4 linked regions of the Caenorhabditis elegans genome follow. The protein of the gene in region 4 purifies or fractionates together with the protein of the main gene of each other region. This does not show direct contact. Each region holds a gene or a part of one and is shown on either strand. Other genes may lie near its edges.

Region 1 (6,044 bases), on a different chromosome or scaffold from region 4:
CCGTTCTCTTCATTCCACAGCCAATGTGCTCACTTTGGGTGGCTCTCGCTTGTGCTTCCATCGATTTTGGAGTGATTGGATACATGACGCTATGGGGAGTGAATCTGGATGCTATATCAATGATCACAATTATCATGTCAATTGGGTTCTCCGTCGATTATTCTGCACACATTGCATATGGCTATGTCGTATCCAGAGAAGATACAGCAGCTGGTAGAGTGAAAGAAGCACTATCAGCTCTTGGATGGCCACTGTCTCAGGGAGCTATGTCTACAATTATCGCGGTTTCAGTTCTTGCCGATATTCCAGCATATATGATAGTTACTTTTTTCAAAACGGTAATTCTTTTCAATTTTTTTATTCTTTAACTTTTCTATTTTCAGGTCGTTCTCTCAATTTCTCTCGGTCTTCTCCATGGTCTTGTTTTCCTTCCAGTATTGCTCTCAATATTCGTACGTGGATGTTGCATAATCCCTAGCTCACCGCATGGTCATCCCAGCGCTCAAAAAATCGAAAAGGTTTGATCTGAAATTATCACTACATTCTCATTTTCCCATATTTCAGCAAATCAGGATCGCCGCTATCTCGTCTAGTCCACTCGATTTGCGAACCGTTGCTCCGCTCCGCGCCTCGTCACCAATCAGCTTCCCGCATAGGCTTGAGTACACCGATGAATCTCCAACTGTACACAACAGATCAAAGAATTCTATTAAATCCGAGCACCTAGACTAGTCTTTCTTCCAATGACTCTCATTAACTAATTGAATACGTGTATTTGTAGAATATTGTGAATGTTCTACGTTGTTTTTAAATATATGTGAATGAATATCTTAATTGAAATTTTAAATATTATTAACTCTCGAAACATTATCAGTGAGTCTAGAATGGGAAGGAGACATTTTTAGAACAAATCGGTCAAAAATAAGAAAACGGATAATTGGATATTTAAGCCAACAGCCACCTATTTCTCAGTGCTACAAATTTTTACCAAAAGCTGAGGATTAATATGCGTTTCTTGAAATTAAACTTTAATATTTTTCAAGTAGCGAATAAAATCACAATGAAAACCTAAACTAATAGTAAGCGACAGAATTTTTAAGATTTACAATCGGAAACTCAAAATCAACTTTCCCGTTCTGATGTTTCACTTTTGACCATAAGTTTTCAAATAAAAACTTAAACTAGACGTATTGTATTTTAGAATATTATTTGCATTTCGTTTGTTCGTTGGTAAGTCACTGTTAACTTTCATAACAAGTTTATGAACAGAGAAAATCAACAATTTACTTATTCTCCTCAGCGGCCTCTCTGGCTCTCTTCTCACGCTTTCCACGGTATTTCTTGTCAGCACGCTCCTTGCGGAGAAGTCTGAAGATCTCGACCTTGCGTTCGGCGTCGGTAACTTGGCGTGGCTCGTCGAAGGTGATGGTGTGGGAAAGTGGAAGGACATCTCCGCGAAGTTGGGCGGCAACCTTGAGCTCCTCAGCCTTAAAAATCAATATTCATATTATGCAGGAATTATTTAACAAACTGTTATCGACTAAGTTCAAAAATACTTTCAAACTTAATTAAATGCAAAAAAAAACTTACAGAGCTGTCTCCCTTCTTTGGTGCGCTAGCCTTCTTCGGGAAGAGGATAAGCTTGGCTTTGTACTCCTTGAGACGATCGGCGTTGGCCTAAAATATTGTATACATTTAATTTTCATGCAAAATAATTTATTACATACCTTAAGTCCCTCGGCGGTCTTGTTGGTTCTTCTCACATCAACGGCGATTCCGATGGTGCGGGCCTGAGCCTGGGAGATTCCGGCGGCCTTGAGCTCTTGAAGAGAGAAACCACGTCCAAGACGAGTCTTGGTGTTGTATCTCTTCTGTGGGCAACGGACGACAGATCTGAAATGAAACTATATTTAATGAAAAGACTAATTCTATCTAACCTGAGAAGTCCAGCAACTGGGCGAGGAGCGATTTCGACAGCCTTAGCTTGACGGTTCTGTCTTCTGCGGAGTTTGCGAGCTGGCTGGTCGAACCAGGTCTTTATGCGCTTGTGCCAGTGCTTGCGGAAATGGGCATTGCCCAACATTTGGTTTCCACGTGGAGCCATTGTACCCTGAAAAAAAGAAGTAAAATTGCGATTTTAGTTCAAACTAATGAAAATTGCGATAGAAATACAGAAAATAACTCAATAACAACGCAAAATTGCGAAAAAAAGCTTAAATAGATATTTTTAAAACAATTTCCGGGAGAAAATTTAAAAAATCAGCATATTGAATCAAAAAAGAAAAGAAAAAATTCAGAAAAATTCTATGGGTTTCTTCTTCACAGTGTTACAACGTTGAATACTCAGCCAACGAATTGGCTGCGGCAGCCAAGCGCTGCGAGACCTGCCTGTGTACTTGTGTCGATTTACGCAGGAACAAAATGTGTGCCTAATTTGTTTCGCAGTCTATAAAATTGAATATTTCCATTTAAAATAGTTAAATCAATAAGAAAGTGGTATTTTCAGTGAACTTAACTTTTCTGAAAATAATTTTTAATATGGTACATAACTTCAAACTACTTTATCATCTCTAAAAACTAGAAAGTGGAATTAATTTAATTCAAAAAATTACTGAAATTATTTGCTTTTGAATTTTAGATTAAAAAAAGTTAAATAAATAAATTTATTAATACAAAGATATTACTGGGAATTATACATTCGAGAATATAGACAAAACGAAAAGAAAAAGAAGTGCATTTATTTGGTCCATAGAGAGATCTTTGATTACTTTCCATGTGTTTTATCGTAGGAATCTTTATTCTTGTAAGCTCCAACATATCCAGTATTTTCTGTTGTATCCGCACGTCCTGATTTTCCTTTTCCTGAAATTACATATTTCTTTCGTGAATTCATTTTCTACAAATACCTTTTCCTTCGGCATCGAATCTTTCTTTATGGGCTCCAGTATACTTTGTGTGATCGGTGAGACGGCTGTAAACGCCGGCCGCATTGGCCTTCGCCGCACCTCCAACACTCGGCGCTTCCAATTTGGCCAATTTCTCTGTGATTGCGTCCAGTTCGTCCTGAATCGGCTTCTTACTTTGTCTCGCGCGATCCTCGGCGACAAATGCCAGCACTTTCTTCGTTTCGTCGAAAGTGGCCTTCTTTTTAGGTCTATAATAAATTTTTTAGTTAATTCGATGCAGACAGTAAAGTTCAACCCACCCAGTAACTTTGCTGAAAGCGATTCCGGTCATTGTCCCGGTGATGGCTTTGTTGTCGAGGACACCAGCATCCTTAAGCCACTTGTCGAAGTTCTTTCCAGTCATTTCGGTGGCGGTAGCAGCTCCGAATTTGGTGAACGCGTCCCATCTAGAAAATTAAAAGGTTTTGATGCGAAATTCTAACTCGAAACTGTGTGAAAAACAATGTTTTGTTAATTTTTTTCTGGTTACCAAAATTGAAATCGGTAAACTACTGGACTTCTTGCAAAGTTTATAATTTAAAATCCAAATAATTTACCTTTTCTTCACATCAGCATCATCCCAGTTGAATCCAGCAGCAGCGGCCATGATTTTCTGAAAAATAAAAGGTGTTTGTATAGTGAAAATAGGAATAACGACCGGAAAAGAATGAGCACTCGATGGCAACCATGGAAACATGGAAATATTCAAAGAGAGTTGAGAAAACTGCGTGAGAGGAGAGCATAAATCAAAAATAGGTGGAGCTCTATCGAGCATAAGAGAATTAAGAGAATCACGTGGCGGCAATATCTGCACTCGATTTCTGACTTTGTTTAGCAATTTGAGGAAGAAGAAGTATAAAAGCCCATGTGTCGGAAGGAATTGGCAGAAGCTGAGTGTGGAGTAGAAAGAGCACAATGGGGCGAGAGCCAAGATTATTATCTATTCATTCTTCGCGCAACGCCAACGTTGTTCCCTAATTGCGCCGTCCGTCAGTTGAAAAGCATAACGAGCCAAAGAGATTCGGACGGTGATTAGTGAAGTTTTGAACTAGCAGGAAACGGGTGAGAAAGTGAAGAGAGATAGGGCAAACGGCGTTCTTTAATGAAATGAGAAAAAAACTTCTCTCTTCCTCTTTTCAATCGCGTATTTCGACCTCTCTTACACCGGATAAATCATCAGTAGGACATGCTCTTTGTGGCTGAGAAATACATAAAAAGAAAAGAGTATTGCGAAATTCTCGAAATATAACTTTTCACGGAAACTCTCACTGCGCAAATTGCGAAATTGAGTGGCGCCGATGGGAATTCATGAATGCAATATGAACTGTTTTGTTTTGAAAACTTTTTTCAAAACATTTGAGAACTGAAGTAAACGGAAAAAGGACAGAAATGGGTGGAGCTTTCACTAATTGTTTGGGTGCGGAATCTGTTATTGATGGCGTTCTTTATTAGGCAATTAACGCAGTTTCCAATATTCCATTCTTTGAGAATGATAAATTATTAGTTGAAAGGAAATGTATAAAAAAGAGAAAGCTATAGCTTTTAGGTTTAGGTCTTACTGAGAAGAGAGAATTAAACTATTTTGTTTCCCATACATAAAACGGGCTGGATGAAAAATTCAAATCTCAAAAGAGGCGCCTTGTCCCTCCATCTTTTTCTTGTTTCTCTCGTCACCTGCCACTCCTCCTATGTGTGCATGAGAGTGCGCAGGAAGATAGTAAAACAAGACAACAAACATCGGAGGGAGTGGGGGGTAAAATTTGAAAATGAAATAAAATAACAGAGAGGTAGGAGTATGAGACGAGTTGGTGATGCAGCAAGAGGCATACGGACAGAATTCGCTGGGTTTACTGACTGGAGAGAGAGACGAAATGGGAACTAGATTAGCGACGGTCACGCCTGCGTCTCCACGATCTCTATCCATAATTGACAGCCTCCCTGTTTTGGACGTCTTCTTTCTCGCGCAGAAGCAGCAGTCAACTCGAAACTTGATATCTACATTGTGTGTGTGCTTTTGGAAGAAATAGGGGATTTGAACTCTGCTGTACAACTAAGGATCTACACATGTACGGAATACGTTAATGAACTCGTTTTGGGCAACGGAAAAACGTAGAGTTTGAATATTTTTCTGATTCAAACTAAATTTAATAAATATTTGTGTATACTTTTTTTTAATAAATGAGAAAGAATGATGGCGTCCAAAAACTTGGGGATTTTTCGTGGAAACGTCATGAGGATCCCTATGTTTTCAGTTTAAAAGAGTGTTGCTTCTGAAAAAAAATCTCTAAAAATTCTTGGAAAAACTCTGAAAAAATCCTAGAAAAAATCTGAAAATCCTAGAAGTGCGAAAAAACTAAGAAAATTAAGAAAACACATTCAATTTCGCAAGTTTTTATCGTTTCAGAATAATTAACAGTAAAAAACTTGAAAATTGTGAAATTAAAGCGATTTTTATGGAGAAAATAGCGTTTTGGCCAAAATTTTGGATGAAAAAATGTCAAAAACAAAAACATTATCCTACTGTACGCATTCAAGACGCACATCGTTTCAAACGCGGGTTTCACAGCGCTCGCCAGATTACTGTAGAAATTTTAACCATCAAGCCTAGATTTTCTTACGGCAACACGAGTTTGAAGAAAAAAAGTTGAAAAAAGTCAATATTTCTCCCAAACAAAAAACCGAGTAAGAAGGGTGTGTCAACATGTGAAAATTTGATAAGCGAGAAAAGCACGGCGAACTGATGAACACAGAAAATTCGAAGCCTCTACGACGACCGAGAAAACAAGAAAAAACGTAGTATAACGGAGATGACGGCCTGGAATGTAATGCAAAAAAAGAGAGCGATGGAATCGTAAAAAAGACATGCACATTATGTAGGCACGCATTTTGAATTCCGGCTCAGCACAAAATTGAGGCTTTACTCTTTTTTTGGTGAGCACTTGTGTTCAGTTTCAGATGGAAAAAACAAGAAATTGTGAATAAAACTAGTTCATCGAAGGTCTCTTGCTTGGCGTAGAATTGTTCATTACTCCTTCTCTTCCTGAAATATACTACAATAAAATCTGGAAAAAAGAGCTGCACAAAAACTTACAGGTTCTC
Region 2 (6,840 bases), on a different chromosome or scaffold from region 4:
GCAAGACGTATTGGACCACATAAATATCGGTTAATAGGCGCCACCTATCATTGATAAGGGCGTGAAAAGTGCGCCGAAGGTAGATGAGCTTTTCAAAGCACGATTGGAGCAATTGGTGGTGCATTAAATGCGGGGAGAAACGCAAAGCCTCCAATATTTTTTCCAAAAATTTAAAATATGTATGCTTTGAAAATACTATGGCAAATGGACATGGTAAAATCAATTGTGAAAATATTTAATAAAAAAATTTTTCAAGCACTTACGGCTTCGATTTTTATTTCATCATCATTCCCAACAAAATCATCATTTCATCAACAGTTCTCAAATTATATTTAATTTTTCAAAACCGAATTGTGTTTAAATGATCACCTGTGGTGTGTTCAACCGAGTAAAAAAGAAGACGAAGCGCTTGAATGGCAGTGATTTATGTTTTTTTCTAAATCCAAGACGTGCCCAAAACAACACACATGCATATCCATATACTGCTCACCTCAAAAATCAAAATTTGGATAAAAAGTCTGTCTGCGTAAAATTGAAAATCTGCTGATACTAGAATATTCAAGGTTGCCGATAACTCAAAAACGATCGTTTTTATCACGCTATTCTAGAATAAATAATTCTGTGCACGGAGTTGTTGAAGCTTCTACAAAATTTTCTTCATTTTTTGATTTATTTTCTGCCATCCTGTGTCTGATGAATTTTGAGCCGTATTCAGTTGTTTTGGAATCAGATAACCCTGACTGTCCAATTATCAAGATTCCGCATTGTAAGTCGATTTTCTTTACTACACTTCTATTTTAAAAACATAAAAAAATGCTCAGTTCTTTTTTACATTTATCCTCTCAAAGTTAGTAAAAAGTGGTCAAGATTCAATTTCAACATTGTTTAGGACGCACACTTCTGTTATTGAATCTTTTCTTTCCAAGATGTTGTGCATTCACTTTTGGCACATTCTGAGCATTCATGAGCAAGGACCGAAATATTATCTACTATCGTGATCTCTACTATTACACTGTTATGTTTGCAGATGCAAACGGAAATGAAAACGGAAACGGAAACGGAATAATGAAAACGCCGCAACGGGAAACTGTCGTGAGCCTGGGTTTCACGGAAGATCCCATTCCTCCCAACAGTTATTGCTGCAATTCTTGTCATATTCAAGTAAGCTCGCATATAAAGTGTTCCCTTTTACTGGTTTCAGCAGATAGTCAGTTTTCAGATAAAGTAGAATAAGCGACTGCAAAAAAATGTGTGAATTTTTTTAAAAATTGTTGACTATAAATGTGATTTGAATAGTTTTTCTACGATGCAGATAATAAAAGAAAGTTGAAATATAATGTTTAAAAAACAACAACAACATTTCAGAAAGCGTGCCGAGCAGTTGCAGTATTTGCCTTTTTAGGATTTATCATAAACCTTGTTCTATATTTTATGGGCATCTCAAAACTCGGTCTAAACGGTAAGCACGTCACAATTTCTTGTTTATACCAACTATTTGCATACTTGTTTTGCTAAATTTATTCAAAATCCAATTTGTAATTCATTCATATAATTCTTTTCTCTATTTTTCTTTTTTGCAGGATATCTCGAAGCGTTCCTTCTTATATTCGACTGCATTTCTCTGCTGACTCTGTTTTGTGGTGTCTCAAAGCAACGTTCGGGATTGCTGAAGCCGTACTTGTTTTACAATGTATGTTTATTTTTTGCTTCGTTCTTTTTCATGAAACGTATAATTATGTTGCAGGTAATATGGAACTTTGGCATGATAATTTTGTTCCTGGTTTTTGTGTACCACATGTTGAAGGGAACTAGTGATGTATCGAGGTTTTGGGAACTAACAGACTCGGAACAAACTAAAAACAACTATATTTACAGGAACATCCTCGACAATCTTAAAGCTTTGCGATCAAATCCAGATGAGTATCACTTCCGATCAAGAGAAAGTGTTACCAGTGAGAACGATTATACTACTTGTGAATATTTATACTTCAAAATTTTTCAGCTGCAATCCTGGTCACACTGGGTGTGATGGCTGCCATGTCGTTTGTTATAGTCATAAATTGCATATTTTTGCATGTTGTCTACCGCACTTTTCAGTTTTTTGCATACCAGGAAGACAAGAAGAGAGAGGAAATGGATAAAAAGGAACGCTTATAACCTTTGCAATGTTTTATCTGAAATGTTTAACCTCGTGCTTTCTATTGAACTATCTCTTACACACAAACATTATGTTGATCTCTTATGTATTCCGAATTCATTTAATTTCCTTCTCGGGTGCTCGTCTGATTTTCATTTTTATTTTATATTGTGGATTTAAAATTTATTCACAGTTTCAACTCTACTGCAATAAAAATTATGTATACATACAATGTTCAAATTTCACTATTACAAATGCAATTCATAGTTTTCATTTTCATGCAAGATTCTTCCAATGTACAGTAAAACTATAGAGTTATTCAATTTACAAAATTAATTCATATTTATTTAGTATCAAGAAGCAATACAAATAATTATATTGTTCGAAATTTGAAAAAAAAATGTTTATGATAATTAAGATTTACTTTCCAATGAGAGCGAGGTTGGTTTTGATGACTGGGTCAATTTGTTCAAGCCAAGCGGCAACATCAAGTTCCTGAAAACAAAGTAATTCTGAACGTAACTACTAGTTTCTGCTACAAAAACTTCAAACGTTTGCCGACAAGACCCATTCACATACCTCGGCGATTTTGTCAAACATGTCGTTTAGAGCCTTGATATAACGCTCTTTAGCTTCATCTTGAGACACTCCTTCGAGCTCTTTCCATGAGTCCCTGGAAATCGGATTAACTGGGGTTGGTCAGGAAAATGCCAGTAAATACTGTGAGCCAGTTGGAATTAATTGTTATTTTTACATGGCTTCAACATCAATAGTCGCAACGTACCATTTTCAGACAAGTAGTTAAACTATTTTGAGTTATTGGAACTGACCCATCTAACTTTTTCAATTACTATTGTACATTTTATTAGAAATGTGTACTATTAAAAGTGCACTAAAAATCGGTGTTTGAAAAATTATACCAGCAGTCTGTTTAGAATTGCGATCTTAGCACTCCACACTTTTACAACTTTTTTTTTAGCGCCAGCCAATGAAATAAATAGAAAACATTACAAGATATACTACCTTTTTATGGATGTTTCAAAATCACGACTGTTATAATTAGATACGATCACTCGTTCTTTTGAAACTTTCTGATTTTAAATAATACTTGTATTTAAATTGCCTTTTTTGTATTATTGCCTTTTAGAATAAAACCTTCACTATCGCCAGCATTGAAATAATGTTCCACCAACACATATGTTTGATGGGTTCGTTCTTTTTATTCATGAACGAGTACTTGTGTAATATCAGTACACCAAAAAATCTTTTTAATTTTTTTCAAAAATACAATATGAGTTCTTTTTGAATTTTAGACTTAGGAAAAATCTAAACCTAAAAATGAATTGAGCATTAAAATGGTTATTTACGTTGTGGTCATTTTGGAATTTTATCCATTGCATACATTGTGGGATACAGTAACTACACAAGTACCCATGAACGGAATTATTTTTTGAATCCATGTTTCTACAAACGTGAAAACATTAATACAGGCTTCGTGTTATTTTTAAGGGGTATTTCAAACATAGTTTATGGTTTTGAAGAGACCAATGATCAGAAACGACACTCTACATTTCTTCAAAACTTTTTATTGATAATTTCACAATCATCCGTTCCTACTCGTTTTTTGTGGCACCATATTCGAAGAAAATGATAATTGCATCGTTTGCAGACACAACGCCGACATTTGTTGCATAGCGATAAGTTAATATATATTGCGGTCAAAAAATCAACACACATAACTCACGCAATTCTGATGCAGTTTAGCTAGCCACGCGGTCATGACTCATTTGTCAATGAAATAAGAAAAAAAGAATTCCCCTTTTTCGAATCAGACAAAGGAATAATGAAAAAAAAAACTGACCACTTCTTTCTCTCGATGATGGAGAAAATTCCTGGTCTATCGGTGTTCACATCTCCGATAGAAGCCTGTTTGAACAAAGAGTAAAAGGTAAGCTTCTGATCATTGCTGGTGGCAACTGGTCCTAGAAAAATTGTAAATTTAGCTTTGAATCAACTACATCATAGCATAGTTTGTAGCATTGTAGCGAATCAAAGTCCAACGTACCTGTTTTTGGAAGTTTCTGGATGATTTCCACAGCAGCGTCGAACTTTTCTTGAAGAGACATTTTCTGAAATAAGAAAGCGTTGAAATTTTTAGGTTAATGAATAGATTAAAAAGATTAAAAAGTTCGAAGCGGTTTTCAAATTGCAAATTGATTGACTTTTTCAAAGGCCTTGAAATAAACTACACCTATTTACTTAGTTATCAAACACGGTTTAAATCAAACAAGACATCAAAACGAGACTAGAATCCAAAAAGTACAAAACAGGGAGAACTGAACGTGAAGAAATCTGTGAGTAGTGCCGTTGGGCGCCGTCAGCCCGATCGGATTTACAAGGACAAACGGGCTGCTGCTGTTGACCTAAATCTTTTCCCTGGATATAAAGATGACCCATTCAGTATCGTGTCTTCCCGTGAACAAGACGTCATCTTTTTATCATTGGCGCTGGTCTTCGGGAAGGACAGTACAATTAATTGTCCGGAAAACTGCGGGTGAGAGATTACACTCATTTAAAGGATACCATTGGAGAATGGAATAGGATAATATCATTTTGAGAAAAAAATAGAATAAATTGAACTCAGGTATTTGACAATAGTAAAAACGTGTATTCTTATTGTTAGAATTTACTTCTAAATTGAAATTTATGTGGTTGCTGTACATCAAAAAATGTTCAAAAACCATATGAAATATTTCAAATCTTTTTAATATAAAATGTAAAAAAATTCTTTGTAGAAACTTCAATATACTTTCAAAATAAAATACACACGTACCAAAATGTATTTCACTTTTCTTGTAATATTCAGAGCATAACAAAAAGTGGGAAACAATCGAAAATAATAATAGAAAATAATCAAAGTTTACCATAAACTTCAAAAAAAAGTATAATATATTTATTTTATGAATTCACCGATTGTTGCCTTATTTTCTCTGTTGTTCGTATATTTTGCAAACTTTATGAAGACACCCAGTTTAAAAGAATTGAATGTTTTTTGAAATTTACGACTGTTTCCGATAAGTTACTCGTTTCAGACAGTTTAATTAAATCTTCAATTTTGCCAAATGCTTATTTGGATTACGTACTTATTAGTTTTTTTCTCGGATAAACAAGGAAAATACCTAGTTTGGAGTATAAATAATTTTTTAAACGTTAAATTTTTAGTAAATGTTTCGTAGATGAATTTTTGTCCCTCATAATGCTTGACGGTCGTCTTTTTTCAAGAATTACAAAAATCACATTAAAAGTTGAAAATAGGTTTTTAAAATATACAAAAAGATCATGACAAACACAATGATACAGACATCACATTAGATTTTTGACTATACAACGTGTTATCTGATAAGAACATGGAATTCAAGTTGCGTAGCTGCAGCAAACATTAGTGGCATGACGTTTTACTGGAAAGATAACCTTCCATGTTACTGCGACTAGTTTCAAATTTGGTGCTTAATGACCACGTGAGACTTTGTTGCGTGTTTTTATTTTGGTGGCTATGTTTTTCAAAAAATTTACCTGTCTGACAAATAGTAACAAACACATGGTAACTGATCAACCGTATTTATAAGATTTTAGAATTTTCAACAAAGTTAATTTTCTTTATAGAATAATTATTATAGTCACTGTTTTTACTGTGGTTGTATAATGTCGTTCTAAAATAAAAATAAAAAACTGTTCTGCTGAGTTCAGTAATAAAACTTTGTATTCATTTATACGTTTTCATGTTTTCGACGTTTTCATTTTTGTTTTCGTTTCCACGTTACGTTCCACGTTGTCACCTTTGTAGATGTAGAGATGATTTTGGTGCCTGCTCTGGCTGAAATTGAAGAGTGGTGTATTTTTGATCCATTACATTTCAAGAAAACATGTAAACTTTAAGAGACTTTAATCTATACATGTACATTGCCAGACAGTAATACTTTTTCAAAGATCAGTAAATACCCAATTGAATCAAACGAAGAAATATGACGTCTTTCTATCCACCCACTTATCCAATGCAAGACTCTGTCTATTCTCTCTCATTTTTTCTCACCCAGAGCGAAAAAATGCCTTTTGGTTTTCCAACTCTACGCTCATTTTCTTCTTCATACTCAACATCCTATCTGTTTGGCGGGAAGAGAGTCAAAGAAAAAAGGGAAATAGAGTTGTGTGTCTCACGTTGGAACGGCATGCAAGAAGGACACAACAACGCTGCACACTACACGCAGATGGGTCCTCTCTCTCTCGTCTTTCCCTCTGACAATTCCATTGATCCATCGTTGTCTGTCTCTATGTCCCGGGGAAACATAGAGAAGAAGAGAAAACCTTCTTGTTTCCTCGTTTACCCCTACTGATAATTTCATCCAACTCAACCTTTTTTCCTCTCGTTGGCCCCTCTTGTTTTGATGTGACATGGATGCACGGAGCTTGATTGCATCCAATTGTTATCAATATTACTTTAGTTTATTTTATATGTGATTATGGGAGTAGTTATTTTAAGAGGCCGAATTCCTTTTTTTATGTGAAATCTCGTGGGTTTCCCAATTTGAAATTAATGTTTTTGGCTAGTACGCTGTTCCAGTTTTTTGTTTAAATTAACATTTATTCCAACTGATCATGCATTTGAAAATACGAATATAAAACAAAATCTTTGATATTCCTGATCC
Region 3 (7,208 bases), on a different chromosome or scaffold from region 4:
AAATCCGTCGGGTCCGGCAAGTTTCAAAGCAACCTTGTCAGCAAGAATACTGCTTTGTCCATGTGCAATATTAGCGAAGGGTCCGGCATGGACAAAAACCGGAGTACCCTCCAAAGTTTGCATCAGGTTTGGGCGAACGGTGTCTCGCATAAGAACTGTCAAAGCCCCAGTTACTCCAATATCATCAGCGGTTACTGGATTGCCAGCCTTGTCGGATCCGATCACAATTCGTGCAATTCTTTCTTGCATATCAGCGAGAGAAGTTGTCAACGCAAGAATCGCCATGAGCTACAAATAAGAATTAATAAATTAAAATTGCCATGAAATTGTTTTGACTAACCTCACTAGCAACAGTAATATCAAACTGAGTAGTTCGGGTGTGTCCCTTCTCATTCGGTCCCATTCCAATTTCAATCTTTCTTAAGAATCTATCGTTCGTATCCATCACACGGTTCCAGGTGATAGTTGCAGGATCTATGTTGAGACGAGCAAAGCTAACTCTCTGCTCTTCGCTAAGATTTTCAGCATCATCTACACGTGGGATTCCAAGACGGTCGAGGCGACGAAGTTGGATCTCCGAAAGTGGGCGGACTCCTGAAAAGTAAGTATTAATGTATTTATTTCTATGCCATAAAAAGGGACTTCAAACAAACCCTTCTTGTTCTTTGGTGCCAATCTGTTGAATAGTGCATCAGTTGCTTGGGTTGACTCATGGAACATTCTAGCATCGATTGCAGCAGCAAGAAGATTATTGGCTGCAGTAATTGCATGGATATCTCCTGTCAAATGAAGATTGAACTCCTCCATCGGAATAACCTGAGAGTATCCTCCTCCAGCAGCTCCTCCTTTAATTCCAAACGTTGGTCCTTGCGATGGCTGGCGTACACATGCGAACACCTTTTTGTGAAGATGAGCTCCGAGAGCTTGAACTAGTCCGATTGTCGTTGTGGATTTTCCTTCTCCAAGAGGTGTTGGCGTAATACCAGCAACTACAACGTACTTTCCATTTTTAACCTCGCTCAGTCTATCCAAAATGTCAAGAGAAACCTTTGCCTTCTTGCGTCCATAAAGGTCAAGCTCTTCTTGTTTGATTCCAATTTCCCCAGCTACCTGAAAATAATGAAGATAAGTTTTTTTTAAATTAAATATTCTTGAGTGCCTTTTCGATGTCCTTTGGTGGTTGAGCTCTCGAAATAGCAATATCCGATGGAACAGGAGTTAACAGGGTGGGCTTCAAGTATTCAACATTCCATGTGCTCTGAAATAAAAAATAATTCAACGAAATTATAATGTTTGATTTGGAACATTTAATCGAATTACCATTCGGTCAAATTTGCGGCGCAAGCAGCGTGAAAAATTGAAAATTGAAGTTGATGAAAAGATAGAAATTGTGACTTAAATGTTTATGGGAACTTCGATCAAAAATTCTTATTTTTTTATATTTTGATTCTTATCAATCAATAAAATAGATTGACAATAGTGATAATGTTGCAATTCGCAACTTGACTTTAAAAAACGATAAAACGCACGGACAGGTTTATCAGAAGAAAGTAACATATTTTAGGTTTTCCAGAAATGTATGACAACATATCAAACTGGGACATATTAAGTTTTTATTAGTCAACATAAACAAAAAAGACGCTTTTTCAAGATTAATTTCTATGTACATATTAATTTAACAGATAATACTCTTTTTTTTATCTTCAGACTCTTTTTTTTTTTGAAAATGTATTTTTACAGTGTGGAGTTATTATACACAAGTTCTGTTTTTTTTGCTCACGCTCAAAACATGAACAAATTATTTTTGTTATTTTTGGAGTTTTCAAAATTGCATTTTCCGTTTAAAAATCAAATCCCAAAACGTTAGTGTTACTTACCATGTTTCACAATTCAAGAGAAACCAATGAATCAACGAAAATAAAAAGCGAGTGATTCAAACAACTGCAGAGCGATGGCCACTAAATACAAACACCTTGATAAGGCAGTGGGCAGAACAAGTAATCGAGTCAGTATCAGATATTAGGAGACGCACAGAAAACATGCACGGGGGGCATTTGCCGGGTCTGCCTTATTGATCGCGTCCTCTGATTTGTTCGATGTTGCGTCGCTCTCGTGCATCTAAACATCTAAACTAACCACGTGCATTTATCGCGAGACCATGGTCTTTTTACAAATCAGGGCTAATTGTGTCCTTGGTCATTGTTTATTTCGGTGGAAAGTGACAATAAAAAGAAAATACAAATTGAAAAGATTAGATTAAAAAAAGGTATGAAGAGGACTTCAAGTTCCAGAACGTCACAACAAATTTTAAAGAGTAAAAAGTCAAACCAAAAAGCACATTATAAATAGTTCATTCGCAAATGATGTGGTGGAAGTGGGTGCTTGAAGTTCACTCATCATCGTCATCCTGAAAAGTAGGTTCTGTGAAATACAACACTTACAAATATTTTTAACATATTTTCAATCGATTTTGTGTGAGGCACACTATAGTTGCAGAACAACTTTACATTCGGTGTAAATAATGAAGACAATGTCCATGAAATTTGCTTGTTTCGTAGAGTTTATCGCTCAATGAATTTTTGAAGTTCTTTGAGTCGATAACGTGCTATCGGTGTCTTTTGTAATTTTTGAAATAAACTCTGGTGCATCAGTATCAACCCCACACGCAAAACAAACTGTTTGGCACTATCCACGCTTAGGCCAGAACATCAAAAAACCTGCACAAACTTAGTGTCGCAAAAGGAAAGCTATTTTACCTTTTGTCCAAGACGTCGTCTCTTAGCCTGCTCAAATGTGTTACGGATGAGCATGGCAACAGTCATTGGTCCAACGCCTCCGGGGACAGGTGTGAGGAATCCGGCGACTTCCTTTGCGGCTTCTGTGTCAACATCTCCGTAAATTTTGCGTGAGTTTGGGTCGTCACCAACGTTGATTCCACAGTCGATGACGAATGCGCCAGGCTTGATCCAATCAGCTGAAATATATGCTTTTATTTGTAAAAAACGCTGACACTTATCAGAACAGAGAGTCTGTTTCTATTTGATGCAAAACAATTCAGAAGTTGCAAACAGTCAGGTGCATACTAAACATTGATAGTTCTTAAATTGGGGTTTCTATTATAGATATTTTGCATAATTTAATGACTTACAAACTTTTAGGTTAGCAAGTAAATACCGTGCTGCTCATATAAAGGTCTACTCGTAATAACTTTTGCCAAGATTCTTCTTTTAAATGGATTTGGGCGTAATTATGAAAAAAGCAACGCGAAATTTGTTCAATGATGAATTCCAAAAAATCAGGATATAAAAACTTTCACTATTTTACTATAGTCAGATCTCAGCTCGGAATAACCACGTTTGCTGAAGTTGAAATCAATCTTTTGATATCTGTATGGCCAGTACTGTGCACTATCTCAAATTTAGGTTTATTGATAATCTACCTTTGACGAAATGTTTTCTCCCAATTGCCACAATCAAAATATCTGCTCTCAGGCATTTCTCCTTGAGATTTGGAGTTTTTGAGTGGCAGATTGTCACAGTTCCATGATGCCACAAGAAAAGCGCAGCGGCTGGAGATCCGACAATTTTCGAGCGTCCCAAAACAACCACCTCCTTTCCAGACACAAAGTTGGCATCACCAGTTGCCTGTTGAACCAAGTACAAGCATCCAAACGGAGTGCAAGGAAAGATCGTACGCTGGAGTTCTCCACGAGCCAAACGTCCAGCATTGATACGAGTCAGTCCATCGACATCTTTCAATGGGTCAATCAAGTCGATAACAGAGTCTGCGTCGATTTCGTGCTTGCAGTCCAGTGGAAGCTGAAATTAATAACTTGCTATTATTGTTTAGCTTCCGATGTTTTTTTTTAATTAACTGAGATGTGTTTTTTTTCCGTTATAAGTTAACATTTCAATATTACAACTTAATCCGTTATATTAACCTGAATGATAATTCCGTCAATCTCGTTGTCATGATTAAGAGCCATAATCTCTCGCTTCAAATCTCCTTGAGTGATGGTGTCTGGCAACTTAATGAGTTTTCCATCTGCTCCGATTTCCTTTGCTTTTTTCAGTTTGGAATTAATGTACACATTGGAGTCTGAACGATTTCCAACCTGCAAATTTTGAGACTTTGAGTTATTCAGTATAACAGATATCCCCTCGGATATTATTTGTCTTGTTACGAAATAAAAGCCGGTATCTCAAAAGTACACCACAACTACAAATTACGCTCTGCAAAACTTTCAAAATCTGTTTTGTAAGTATGCAATGCACTTATGTACGTCATGAACTCAAAACACAGATTGGACAGAGATTTTCATTTTCATATATTCAATTTAGAAATATTATTAAGTTAATAGCAATGCTTGAAATAAAATTATTATCAGTGGTAAGCTTTCATACCTGAACAATTGCCAATACTGCATGAAAATTTGGGTGGTGCTCACGGGTTTTTGCGATTTTCTGTCCGACATCGTGAAGAACCTTTTTTGAGTACTCGAGTCCACTGACGATCTCCGCGACCATTCTAAAAAATAAACAAAGTAATAATCAAGTTGAAAAATACGTCAAGAAAACAAGAAGGGGAAGAGTAAAGGAAAAGAGTACGAAACTCCTCTTGTACTTGGCTATTCATGGGAAGAGACTAGTGCAGAAGTCAGAGGACAAGCTGATTGGAAACTTAGCACATATTCACATTTCGATGGTGGGGGACAGAGTGAAAAAATAAAGCGTCGAAAAAGTTGAATATGCATAGCGGTCTGTTGTTTGTGGGGGAGTGATGAGAAGAGTTTTAAAACGGCCTGGCCTTGTTATCTTATGCTGAAGATCGCTATGATTTTATGTGTCGAGTGACTAGAGTTGCTTGTCAGCGACATTCTCATGGAAAATACATGTTCCACCGACAGTTTCGATGTCAAAGCTTCCGCATTAAACATGTTTGCTTGAAAATGAAAACAGTGTATCAAGGAACAAAATTCAATTTTTGTCACATGAAAATAATACTTTTGAAAGTTTTTGCTGCCTTATATGTTAACAATATATCAAAATAATGGACACAGTGCAGAAATGTCCAATACGAACGCGTGGCGGCGGACCATGAAAATCGATAACAGTCGGCGGCTGGCCTTGCATGCAATGCGCGCGCATAACACAGAAATCTTATCGGCATCCATACGACGCAAAATCTCTTTTTACCCAGCAATTTGCCGAGATAAAAACAATAATCATATCAACATTTTGACTACAATGGGACTGGGATCTTATCATGAAAACTTCTTACCTTGCAAATTTGAATGTGAAACTCATTATTTTTCTTATAAACTGGGAAACGTTGATTTTTAAAAAGTGTCTATTTCTATTAACCAGAAATCAAAACATGTTATTCTCAAATGTTTTTTTCAAATGATTTAAAATGAAGAAAACAAGTCTTATCAATAATGTCCTAAAACCTGCACAATCCAAATTATCGGAGCAATTGAACAGTGAAAATAATGAAGTAAATATTAAATATTAACATTTTTCAAAGGCGTACACAAAAATCATTTATTCAAAATCATTCTTCGATTTGAAAAACAACTAAATCACAGTATTTATATAAAATTTGCGAGAGATGGTGAGAAGGGATGGACAATGGGATTTCATATCATACAAAGAACATAAAATAAGATGTAACCGTTTTGGAATGTGCAACAATTATGGATTTGAATACAATTAGTTATCCTTTTTTGTGCCCTCGTCGCCACCATTGATAATCGAATCCAAAGACTCGGCTCCACGAACAAACGATTTTCTATTTCCATAATCTGCTTTTTCCGAGCTATTCTTTACCAGACGTCCAACAGTCAAGTACTTGAATTTGAACTGTGTCTCCCATTCGTTGGCGGTTTCCTGTAAAAATCAATTTAGGTTTTTTTGTTCACAATCAATCTGACCGAGGCAATATACATTTGAATTAGCTTCGATGTCATATTGATGACACAAAAAAGTTATGGTTTATGCCTGAGTTATGAATAAATACCACAAATCATAAAACAATGACTTTAAGGATTAAATGTTTATAACGAACTTTCACGTTCTTACTCATGAGAAAACTGCATAGCCTACCTGCTCGTCAGCAGAGATTCCAGTATGATCATCCCACTCGCTAGAAACAGCATTCTGGTCCATGGTTCCAAGCGCGCGGGTAGCGTCATGCCCGGCAAGTGTACCGTAGGCTTTTCCTGGTCCGTAAAATCCTTTTCCGCGAGTCACGTCATAGATAGTTCCGTTGAGTCCAAACAGAATGTGCTCATTTTTGACACCATCGTACTTGCGCAGCTCTTCAACTGTCATATCGGACATTGGCAATGGGGCGAGCTTAAGTTCAGGATTTAGAAAAAATACATGTTCATTAAAGAAGCTAATCAAATACTTACTTCTTTTGGTGGAGCTGGGAGCGGTTGCTCGGATCTGGTGAGCCAGTAGAAAAAGAATCCGAGAACGACGACAAGGAAGACCGCGTCGTACATTGTGAATTCAAACCAAGAGCTAAGATCCATTGTGACTGTACAGCTGAAAAAATGACAAACGTATAAAATTGAAACTCGAACATATGGTGGTCGTTGATAGATCAAACCATTAGTGCGAGGGAACCGTTAGAAGGACAAAACAATTCTAGACAGCGAGCCTCGAACTGGTTAAATGATCGCGATCGAGTAAGGGCACGCGCCTCCCACCTCGTCGATTAAACGGATTTATTTTATAGGTTTCAACGGATTGAAGCGGAAACGTAAGCAAAAAGATCAAAAGTTCAAACGTGATATTCACTACTTGTCTCATAAATTCAATGAAATAGCACATAGTGTGGCGGAGGTACTGTTGCGAATTTAAGAAAAGTGAAGTGGGCCCTCGAACTGAATGAAAAGTGTACTCTTCAGCAACAACAATAAATATAGTTTTGATTTTTCTCAAAACACAAAGTTTCAAAAGATGGTTCGGTGCAAAATATAGTAAAGTGTAATAGAAAATAAAAAAAACTTTTAGTAAAGTCTTTTGGTTGTCTGGAGACTTTGGAGATGACAAATGTTTACTAAACTTGATTTAAATTTTTTCTCTAGGGAAGTGCAAAAAGTCATGGAGTGTAAACACTAGGGGAAAATGTTTGTAAATAAATGAAATTTTAGTTTTTTTGAGTCTATGGCAAATATATGAAAAATATAATTCAAAAAG
Region 4 (10,734 bases):
AATCTAGAGAAATTAATCAAGAAGACCGAAAAGAAAATAGGATTAATTTGGATTGTCGGCAAATTCGGTGTCCTTAGTACCAACCAAGGTGTACACGGTGACGCCACATTGCGGACAATACTTTTTTTGGAATTTAATATATTATTAATTAATAAATGGAAAAAATAAATAAATTTCTGGAAATCAGAACCTTTAAAGCGAAACTCTCATGTATTTCCATAGAACAGTCATCGAACCGAAATTCTCAAATAAAATCCGCTAATCCGCCTTTTATTGAGAGTCTGTTTGCTGAAGTTATTTTTTAAAAGTTAAACAATAAATTTATTTCCGGGAATGAAATAAGCGCTAAAAAACTGAAATACTTCCGAGCTCTTCCACGAATATCAATCAATAAATTAAAGTTCCAGATCAGTAAATTCTTCTGGTAATCAAAATGATTTTACAATACAAAATACATTTCACAAGCAAATAAAATTGAAGCATAGAGCTAAAAAATACCAGTAAAAATGCGGGTGTAAGAAATTACTCGTTATTTTCGTGTTATGCACTTTAAGGGGCAGGGATAAAATTATCAATGATTTTTGACTCTGTCCAGTGTATGACGAATGTTCGCCATTTGGTCTCGGCTCAATGTGGTTCTCTTTGGACGGATCATGTTTCCACGCGCACGAGTGATGGTTGCGTCTCCACGAGATAGAGGTGTTCCACTGAAAATTAGTTTTTTTTAGTTTGGCAAAATATGAGATGAGAGCTAAATTACGTTCTTTGTCTTATGAAACTTACACAATCATAGTATCCATTCTGTTTATATCTGTTGGAGTTATTCTACCTTCCTCTTGAACAGGACCAGTAGCTGCCATGGCTTTGAAAACTGCCATTGACGATTTAACGACATGAGAGAGGTTAAAGTCAATCCTCTTCTTTCTGGAACACTCGCCGACTAGCTCCTTGATGAGCTCTCCCATTGGATTATTTTTGAGATATTCCATATACTCATTCCAAGATCGGTCACTGGATGCAATGAGAATATTCAGTTGCTCAATATGTTTAACTGCCATCGAGGTATCACGCAGAATATTGTCGATCGAAACTTGAACGCCGCTTCGCACTACAACTGCTTCATCCTCTTGTGGCATTCTGGCTTCCAATGTTCCAGGCATGATAGGATCAATTTTTCGTTCTCTCATCATTTGTAAAATCTTGTTGATCATACTGGTCAAGTGCATATGTGGTCGAGAAAGACGACGGGCAGCATCCAAGACGACGTCTCCTTGCTGAAGGATAACCCGCTCCAAATAGTTATCAACTATCAAAATGTGTGAATCGCTGATGTCCATTTTAAGTTCTGTGAGTGCACAAACGTAGAAAGCATTGAATGAGTCGACTATATCCGAGGCTCTCAGTTGAGCTCTTCTCTTTTCAAGTTCATCACACCATTTCGACGAGAGCTTCGACACAAGTTCGGTTATACCGGTGTTCATTTGAAGTGATTCAGTCATTGCCAGAATCAATCCGCACAACAGATTAGACAGCTCAACTCTGTAGATTAATCGCATTGCCAGTCGATTGAGAGATCTTGCCATTCCGTATCCGGACTCTGTGTTACCGATTTGGATGATACATCTGAGGACCGAAGAGATGATGGCTTTGACTGTGTCGGGGGACGCATTAAGTGGCTCAAGGCCGTGCTCAGTTTCGACTCCTCCCATCAACTGAAAAGATAAATTTGGATATATACATATACATGGCATGACTAAATGAAACAAAGAGAGCCAGATATATTTCGGAACTCCCCTTGATTACTATGACATATGAAAAATATAACTTACAATGAAAAGCATTTGCGTACAAGCGTCCATAGTTCCACTGACATCTCGTCCAGCATTGAATTCTTCAATCACCAAATCTAATTGAGCAGCAGATGCACGAAACACCAAATCGGCACGTCGATCAACAAGATGACGTTGTTCAGGTTGATTAAGAACATAAGTGACCTGGAACATAGCATCTTGAGCAACATCTGCAAGACTGCTCGAAATATTGTTGATGCTTCTTTGGATTTGATCAGAAGTGTCTATGGAGGAAATCGACGATGAAGAATTGGTCCGCTTCATTTGGAAGGTATTGTTTGACCAGCCATTGACAGGTTGTGGTGGAGTGATGACTTGAGTGCCATCAAGACGGCCCATGGCTGACGAAAAGACGTCGTCACGAAGTGCATAGCGAGATGAAGTTTTTGGAGGCATTGTGTCTTGTCGTATAGTGAAGGTGTCGCTTTGAACTTCTTCTGGTTCAGGTTCACGAGTACGAGATCGAGAAGCAGGACGACGAACAACCGAACCCTGAAAAACATGTAATTTTTCGTTTTCTAAAAACTGAACGAAACTTCGCGTGGGTATCGAATAGGGAATCACTACTAACTCCAAATATTTGAGACAAAAAAAAATATTATTTACTTCCAACTCGTAAGACTGTATGGCCGATTCAAGTGATCTTTCAGGGAACCTGACTCATTACGAGAAATATTTTAAACAACTAACCTGTTGTTGTGGCACTAAAATTTTGGGTCCTCCAGTTGGCGGCGAGGTGACAACACCAGATCCCGGTTTCACTCCTGTTCGTTTTATTCTTTCCTCAACCAACGACTTGTCCTTATCTGCCATTCTTCCTGCTGCTTTCCACATTTGATCACCTTCAAATTTGAAACAAGCCACGAGAACATTGATAGCAGCATTTCGGACGTTGACATCCTTGTCACCAACAAATGGAGCAACTGTTTTTTCGACTGATAACGATTTCAGCGGACTTATTCCAGCATTTGTAATGTAGTATTCAATGACTAGCAGACACTCGGAACGTTGGCGAGCGTTTTTCGACTTCAGCGCATCTGAAAATAAAAATTACTAGAACATTATTGATCTTCTTCTCTCATACCAAGTAGCATGGGTGTCATCTTGAGTGGACCGACAACATCTGAAAGTACATTGACAATATCCCTGACAGAAGTTCTCATATTGTCTTTGGCTTCTCCTGTCTTCAATAACAAGTATGGAACAAATGCAGACACCTCTTCTTGTGACATTGGAGTTTCTGTATCCCGAATTAGCTCCACAATAACTTTGCACAATTCCAAAACTTTGATAAGTGCGGCCGGGTTGGTCTCGAAAAATCGCAAAGTGCACCATTTTAATAGAAGATCGCTGTTGGATAGAAGAGATCGAGGAGATGTATCGGCAAGGCGAACCAGAGAATCAAGAGCCGCAAGATGCTGCTTGAAATCTTTGTGGAAAAGTTGACTCATTAGAGACACTTTCGCTTGGTTTCCGAGCAGGGTTTGAAGTTGCGAGATATGTTCATCAGTCGGAGCTTGGAAATTCCATTTGACTAACTGCAAATTAATTAGAATGTATGATTATTAACTCATTTAAAGCAATTACTTTTAATTGCTTCTCTTCCTTGATTCGTTGCTTTTTATCCTCGTTGTCACTGAGCAAAAGTTCGGCTTTTGGTGCAACAACGGGAGGCTCGTTTTCTTCGTTCTCCTTCACGGGAACTTTCTTCTTCTTATCGCCTGGTGGTGGTTTCAGGGGCTGAAAAAAAAATAATAAAAAATTGTAAGTTTTCAGTTTTAAACGACCACACAATCGATACAAATTACTATATGGAAATAAGAACACAATTTTAATCACCTCATCCTCTTCCTCGACCACTTCCTCATCTTCCGGTTGTTTCTTCGGTGGAGCTGTTTTTTTCGGTGGTGCAGCAGCTGGCGGAGCCTAAATTTGACAACACATTCACAATAAAATTACAAATAAGCAGTACAAAAATCATCAGTGAATACTTCTAAATACTATCATTACTTATATATAAAAAAATAATTCCGTTTGTTCCATAGTTTGTAGTCTATGTAGTCTTTGTAGTCTGTGACGTCACACCCAAAGTCACTGAGAATTGTGGGCGGGGTCTGTCATCCTTCGCGGTGAGACTCATCGTGGCGAGACCCATCGTGGTGAGACCCATCGTGGCGAGACCCACCGTGGTGAGACCCGTCGTGGTGAGACCCATCGTGGTAATACCCACCGTGGTGAGACCCGTCGTGGTAAGACCCAAAATTTTGGCGGGAAATTTAAATTTTCTGTGAAAAATAATTTGGCGGGAAATTTAAATTTTCTGTGAAAAATATTTTGGCGGGAATTTTAAATGTTCTGTGAAAAATATTTTGGCGGGAAATTTAAATTTTCTGAGAAAAATATTTCGGCGAGAAATTTAAGTTTTCTGTGAAAAATATTTTTGCGGGAAATTTAAATTTTCTGAAAATTCTAAAATTCTGGAAATCTAGAATCTTCTGGAAATTTCGAAAAAATTCTCGAATGTTCCAGAACTTTCTAGAAAAATCGAGAAAATTCTGGAATGTTCCAGAACTTTGTAGAAAAATCGAGAAAATTCTGGAATGTTCCAGAACTTTCTAGAAAAATTGGGAAAAGTCTGGAATGTTCCAGAACTTTCTAGAAAAATTGGGAAAAGTCTGGAATGTTCCAGAACTTTCTAGAAAAATTGAGAAATTTCTGTAATGTTCCAGAACTTTCTAGAAAAATTGGGAAAAGTCTGGAATGTTCCAGAACTTTCTAGAAAAATTGGGAAAAGTCTGGAATGTTCCAGAACTTTCTAGAAAAATTGAGAAATTTCTGTAATGTTCCAGAACTTTCTAGAAAAATTGGGAAATTTTTGGAATGTTCCAGAACTTTCTAGAAAAATCGAGAAATTTCTGTAATGTTCCAGAACTTTCTAGAAAAATCGAGAAAATTCTGGAATGTTCCGAAAAATTGAGCTTAGAGCTTTAGAAGAGGTAGTTATTCGGGAGTTTATGGGGGATCAAGTCAAGGTACTGTAGTGTTACTATAGGGGTACTGTAGGTATACGGTAGGGTTACTGTAGTTTTGGAAAAATTGGCATTTCGTCCTTTGAAGAGGTATTGGGTTAGGAGTCGGTGGAGGATAATGTCAAGGTACTGTAGTGGTATTGTAAGGTTACTGTCTTGGTCAAAAAATAACAGAAAGTTTTCATACTGTCTGTGAATTTTTGAAACATGCATGTCGTAGAAAAATACATACATGTAACAGTGCCAGTAAACCGCGTTTTAAGTGTTTCAAGTTTTTTTCATGATGAGAAATTTTTTGAGTGATTGAAGGTATGTGTGTCAAATACTTTTAATGGTGCCAGGCGTTGCCCGCGCCGTAGGCGCGGTCAGCGGCTGGTTAATAATAATAAAATAACTCACATCTGCTTTGTGAATCGATTTGACCATTTCAGCAATCTCTGCGGGCCCAGCTTCATCCAACGCCTTCTGATGAAACTCCTTGATTTTGCTCATTTTCAGATTATCCGATGCAATATCGGCGAGAAGTTGCAGAGAAGGTTTTTCTCCAATGGCTCTCATCATTGCTCCCATTGCAGCGTATGATGCTTCACGAACTTCCGAATCCGAATCACCAGAATGTTTTATCAACGACGGGATCAGCGTCTTCAAAGTCTTCTTCGGCATGGTCTGTGAATTCAGTTTCATGAAGCATCGTTGAAGGAAAAGATCCGTTTGAGTCTTAATGCTTGGATTTGGTTTTCCGAGCGCTGCGAGTACGATTTCTCCAACTGCTTCGAGATTTGTGGTTGCAACAACTGCATCAATGCAAGCAACCAGCGGATCACGTAGAGTTGGTTTCTTCTCTTTGAACTTCTCAAAAATGATTGGAGTCACAGACACAGCAAACGGCTGGAACTTCGTACGGAGACCATTAGCAATACCAGTTATACAATTGGCCGCTAGTGCAGCCACATTGATATTTGCATCTTTCTCGAGGACCTTAATATTTGAATTTAAAATAATTTTTCAGGACAAAATACACATACCTTCTGCAATCTCTCAACGAGTGCGCCATAGTTTGCCTTTGGGTCGAGCTTCGGATTCGCTGTGATCAATTGAAGCAAACCTTCAAGCGCTTCTTTTCGTTCCTGCCATTTCTTGCTTTCGATGTTGGTATCAAAACCGTCGGGCATTTTGGAAAGTACGTCGAAAGCGTCAAGAAAATCCCAAGGATCGGCTTCCGCAACTGGAGCTCCAGATGAAACAACAGCAGTTGCTGTTCCGCCGGATGGATCTCCCGAAGCAGCACTTGCCGAAGGTGTCGAAGAAGTGGGAGCGACTGGTGGAGCATTTTTAGCTTGTTCTTCTGCGAAGCTAGCGGTTGATTTTTCAGCATATTCCCCAATCTTTTTCATTTTCCCTTCATCGGAAGAAGCATCGCCGAGGAGATTTTTAACGTTTTTGTCTCCAATGATGCGCTGAACAGCTCCTAAACCTTGAAGAGATGCCTCTCTGACATCTTGATCTGCATCGCCAGTCAATTTTCCAAACACAGGCACAACAGCTTTGATGAATCCTTTTGGTTGTTTTGCTGGAACCACCAAATCTAACTGCCGAGCCACAAAAAGTGCAGTCTGTTGCTTGATCTGAGGATTTGGTTTGGCCAGCGCCGCCAAAATGTCTTCCTGACCAGTTTCCAAAGATTGCATTGTACGGCCGACTTCATTGGAACAGTCTACAAGAGGTTCTCGGAGCATCGGCTTCTTTTCTTTCATTTTTTCGAAAATGACGGGAAGAAGTGGTCCTGCGAAAGAAGAGAATTTTGCACGTAATCCCGTTGCGAATTTTCCGATGCATTTGGCTGCAAGCGCTTGGCAATTGATGTTTGCATCTTTTGCTAGAACCTGTAAAATGAGATTGCAGAAATGACCGAAAAATATGAAAACCAACCATCTGCAGATGACCAATAAGTTCGGCATATGAAGCTTTTGTTGAAAGTCGCTCATTGTCCGTGAGTACTTTGAGAAGTGCTTCCAATGCCTCTTTTCGTTCCTGCCATTTTTTGGATTCTCGCAGCTCATCGAAGTTCGGTGGAAGTTTGGGAAGGATATCCACCTCGTCCAGATAATCCCAATTGGACATTATCTGAAAAATGACAGTTTACTACGTGCCTTGCAATAAACAAAGAAAGCGAACGAAAATAAGTTTTGAAGAGAAAGGAGATTTCAACAATAGATTTCCGGTGGAGAACGTAGAGGGAAAAAATCAATATTTTCGAACTGCGAGGGGTAATTGGGGTCACATGGAACTTTTTCGCCGCAAGCCCATTTTCGACCGATTTCGCAACCCGTCAAAAAGAAGCGCAAACAGAGAAACAGAGGCGGACGGGCCGGCTCAGTTGCACTACGCGGCAAAAAAAAAGAAAGGACAAAAAATCAATGAATTCTTTATACAACTTTTTGTTCGAGCCAAGTGAATACTAAAACACTACGCAGATAATAAATTTGATTAATTAGATAATGGAAGTGCTTCACAAAGAAACAAAATCTCAAAAAAAGGACGAAACATCTCGAACAAACGCTTAACACTGTGCGACAAACACTGAAAAGCTTAACTTGCGACGACAAATTATTTAAACAATTTAATGATGAGCTCACATGGGAACAACTGATATTCATTGAAAAAGTGCGAAAGCGAGAAGGTTTCCGTTGCGCTTTTCAAAACTATTTTCTACCGCGCGTTCGAATAAAAATGTCGTCAAGTGGCATGCTTGATACGCAACGCGCGCGTAAAACGACGGGGCTGTCAACTGCGTACTGAACAAGAAAGGAAACATTTTCTAAAAAGCTCTGTTAAATAGCGAAATTTGGTCTTAAAAATAATTAAAGCGCAACGAAGAAATGTTTATTTCAAAAATACGAATGCAAAATGAACAAGAAGTGTTTTGGAAGGGAGAATTCGCGCGCTTAAGCCATCGATCAAGGTCAATTTCAGATATGGAGACCGGGAGATGAAAATTTTTGATTTGTAACAAGACAAAAATGAGCCTACGCCTAAAAAACGCGTTTGAAACGCGAGAAAAACAGGAAATTTGGCGCCAAAAATGCTGTGCGGTCTCGACACGACAAATTTTTGATAAATGAAAAAGGTGCGCGTCTTTAAAGAGTACTGTTGTTGCAAACTTTGGTTACTGCAGATTTTCTATCGATTTCTCAAATACCGTATATTTCCTATTAGCGCTGCATCTTCAATAGTACTACAGTCTCTAATAATGTGTGTTTTTGTATATTTTTGATGGTTTCTTGTTAATTTACAAACATCATATTTATTTTCTGATAATACTGCAGTCTCTAATAGTGCTCGAAAGTTAGTGTTGTATGCAGCACGCGTAAAAAAAAGGGCCCGAAAGTTAGTGTTGCATGCAGCACGCGTTTATTAAACCTTTTTTTTTTGAATAAAAAAATCTAAATTTTAACAATTCGTGAGAAGAAGCATGAAAAACCCCTATGGTACTTTTGCTTATGTTAATTCGTGTTGTCTCTCGACGTGGATCTCACAAAAAAAACGTCCATCGTACTTCTTGGAGGCTCTTATCCTACCAACGGTTCCTGAAAGCTGGTGGCTTCTGGCGCAATATCATATAATTCACGGTGAACTCGAAGATAATATTTTGACTCTAAATAAAAATTTTCACATATTTTGTCTCATCGAAAATTCGTCTATAACACAATAACATACATATAAACATACGGTATAAAAGAAAACAATGTATCATGAAACAGTGTCAGTTGAGTCAGCGAAAAAGTCGTTCTTCTGACGATGTCGAAGAACATTCCATTTTTTGTACAAGTACGTTTTTCTTTTATTTCAAAACTAGACAACATGTTGAAAAATCATTCACAGTTTTCTTTAAAATTTCCAACGTAGGACATGACAATTGTTGTAGTATTTGATCCCAGTTACTTCGAGTTTCTTACGATTTTTTTCAAATAAAATTTCAGAGTCTTCCAATATTATTTCTTGGAATATGCTCAACTCATCTCGTGGCAAAATCGTTAATGGTTTTTTCCCTATTATTATCTCTAGCAATAATGCATAATTTCAGTTAAAACATCAACTTCCATCGGTTTCAGAAAATGCAACTAATACTCATTTTGGATTGACATGTGTAACCACTGCATTTTTATGTATTCTTACTTCTTTGATTATCGTAGATATTCTGTTCAAAACACATTTTACCTTCCGATATGTGGTATTTATGAATGTAAGTTTCAAGTTGGTTCGAGTATCACAGGAAAAGTTTTGGAAAATAACTGGTATTTCCGAAAATTTTACTGTTTGAGAAATTTCGACCAGTGGGAAAGGAACATCTTGAATGTTAAAAACAAGCAATTGAAACCCAATAAAAGCTTTTATAAAACTCGTAGAAAAAATACAAATTTTTGGTCGACTACCAATTTTATTATAGGTGAAACCTATTTTCCACCATTTTTGACTGTAGATAAAAAACGGGAAAAACTTTTCTCAAATTATATTTAGTATGATATTTTAACATTTCTCCACTATAAGAGCAATTTTTAAAAACTCCTCCTTAAGGCGCGCACAATTTTTTTAGGATGGGTCCCGCGAGAAAACAGTTTTTGGTAGTGCATTCTGACTTTAGCGGTGCTCGCATTGATTGTGTTTTTTTAAATGAAAAATATTTTTACGAAAAGAAATAATGCTTGCAAAAAAATTTCAGATAGCAGTTGTTGCGTGCGGTTTGTTTGTTACCGGATATCTACTGGGGCACATTGTTGAGATATGGTTTGCAAAAATGTCAACAATTTATTCATGTAAGTTTCTAATTATTTTGTTAGAGGGCAGCTATCACATTTCTGGCAATTTTGAACGAAAGTTACTCGAAAGGTTTTTCATAACAATCACTAGCTGTGTATGACTGTGTGAATTGTATTTTGACAGAACATTCTGCAGCTAATTTCAGGTCGTCAATTAGGTATACAAACTTACTTAATTACCTCGAATAGTACTGGTGAAGAAGTTAGGAAACTCGAAAGTGGTGAGATTGTCTTCCTTATTCCCATCATTTTTATATCAAAGCTATATTTTTGATAATCTTTAATCTTTTCAGCAGGATGCGAAACTGCTATTTCATCGGAGTTTAAAAATGTATTCTTCGACCTACTAATTCAAGCTGTCTTCATTCCACTTCATATTTTATTGACTGCATTTTCATGGACATTCTCTGGATTGTACAGGCCACGTTGGCATGAAGATTTCGAATAAGGTCTTCACGTATTCCAATTTATTTAAATACATTTTGAAATTAAATAAATAGCGTTTTAAATCATTACTCCGTTTTCAACACAAGATGAATGGTTGCAAGCAATCGGCCAGCAAAGTTTTCAAACTTGTTGGAGGATTCAACAAAGCATCATCAAGATGTTTCTCTTCGGAGAAATTGATTCCAAAGGATTTAAAAATTGTGAAGAATCCGACCAGTGAGCAGATCAAACAGTTTCAAAAATTGGTTGGTGATTTCAATGATATCAAATTGCTAAAGGAGACAATGAAGGACAACTATCAATTGTACCTACTTTGCCACAAAGGTATTTACTTTGAAAGTTGCAATATTAGCACGAACCGTTTTTTTTTGTTAGCCTTGAACAACATTCTACTATCCGGCATTTCAGCAAAATGGTCTATTGCGGCACTGTGCTACAATTTTAATTTAAATTCAAATGTAATGTCTATATACGTTTCAGATTCAACTGTGCTTTCGGGAACCCAGTCTATCACTTACAAATCTCTGAACCGTTCCATTCCCGATTTTCAAACATTTGGCCTTTCATATCAACCGGATAACACGTACAATC

Evidence for each region.
Region 1: the proteins of zyg-9 (region 4) and tppp-1 fractionate together in Caenorhabditis elegans (co-fractionation; one large-scale study listed by BioGRID). This does not show direct contact.
Region 2: the proteins of zyg-9 (region 4) and acbp-3 fractionate together in Caenorhabditis elegans (co-fractionation; one large-scale study listed by BioGRID). This does not show direct contact.
Region 3: the proteins of zyg-9 (region 4) and dao-3 fractionate together in Caenorhabditis elegans (co-fractionation; one large-scale study listed by BioGRID). This does not show direct contact.

Annotation. Positions count from the first base shown.
Region 1 is NC_003279.8:3,784,102-3,790,145, reverse strand, and holds tppp-1 (Tubulin polymerization-promoting protein homolog), read right to left. Parts: upstream 3,559-6,044; 5' UTR 3,553-3,558; coding exon 3,503-3,552; intron 3,353-3,502; coding exon 3,206-3,352; intron 3,155-3,205; coding exon 2,907-3,154; intron 2,863-2,906; coding exon 2,765-2,862; 3' UTR 2,650-2,764; downstream 1-2,649. Other genes in the region: ptr-2 (SSD domain-containing protein), read left to right, coding at 1-338, 384-518, 565-732; rpl-13 (Large ribosomal subunit protein eL13), read right to left, coding at 1,284-1,487, 1,591-1,677, 1,728-1,893, 1,938-2,104; C32E8.4 (uncharacterized protein), read right to left, coding at 5,971-5,985, 6,037-6,044. UniProt on the Caenorhabditis elegans protein: Regulator of microtubule dynamics.
Region 2 is NC_003284.9:10,900,704-10,907,543, reverse strand, and holds acbp-3 (Acyl-CoA-binding protein homolog 3), read right to left. Parts: upstream 4,273-6,840; 5' UTR 4,264-4,272; coding exon 4,203-4,263; intron 4,120-4,202; coding exon 3,999-4,119; intron 2,811-3,998; coding exon 2,717-2,810; intron 2,633-2,716; coding exon 2,558-2,632; 3' UTR 2,456-2,557; downstream 1-2,455. Other genes in the region: F47B10.8 (MARVEL domain-containing protein), read left to right, coding at 1,028-1,161, 1,366-1,459, 1,581-1,690, 1,745-1,824, 1,876-1,952, 2,003-2,157. UniProt on the Caenorhabditis elegans protein: Binds medium- and long-chain acyl-CoA esters with very high affinity and may function as an intracellular carrier of acyl-CoA esters.
Region 3 is NC_003284.9:8,082,024-8,089,231, forward strand, and holds dao-3 (C-1-tetrahydrofolate synthase, cytoplasmic), read right to left. Parts: upstream 4,528-7,208; 5' UTR 4,527-4,527; coding exon 4,404-4,526; intron 4,115-4,403; coding exon 3,941-4,114; intron 3,819-3,940; coding exon 3,440-3,818; intron 2,975-3,439; coding exon 2,757-2,974; intron 2,408-2,756; coding exon 2,390-2,407; 3' UTR 2,187-2,389; downstream 1-2,186. Other genes in the region: K07E3.4 (formate--tetrahydrofolate ligase), read right to left, coding at 1-288, 341-594, 654-1,110, 1,160-1,258, 1,878-1,880; Protein vem-1, read right to left, coding at 5,712-5,888, 6,105-6,356, 6,416-6,538.
Region 4 is NC_003280.10:8,454,087-8,464,820, reverse strand, and holds zyg-9 (Zygote defective protein 9), read right to left. Parts: upstream 7,004-10,734; 5' UTR 7,001-7,003; coding exon 6,809-7,000; intron 6,763-6,808; coding exon 5,905-6,762; intron 5,858-5,904; coding exon 5,279-5,857; intron 3,777-5,278; coding exon 3,690-3,776; intron 3,591-3,689; coding exon 3,438-3,590; intron 3,389-3,437; coding exon 2,935-3,388; intron 2,888-2,934; coding exon 2,541-2,887; intron 2,343-2,540; coding exon 1,830-2,342; intron 1,713-1,829; coding exon 784-1,712; intron 708-783; coding exon 572-707; 3' UTR 309-571; downstream 1-308. Other genes in the region: F22B5.6 (Serpentine Receptor, class J), read left to right, coding at 8,678-8,707, 8,860-8,919, 8,964-9,122, 9,600-9,693, 9,843-9,917, 9,990-10,144; F22B5.5 (DUF1248 domain-containing protein), read left to right, coding at 10,230-10,467, 10,624-10,734. UniProt on the Caenorhabditis elegans protein: Plays a major role in organizing microtubules and spindle poles during mitosis and meiosis in one-cell stage embryos. Required for default nucleus positioning in oocytes.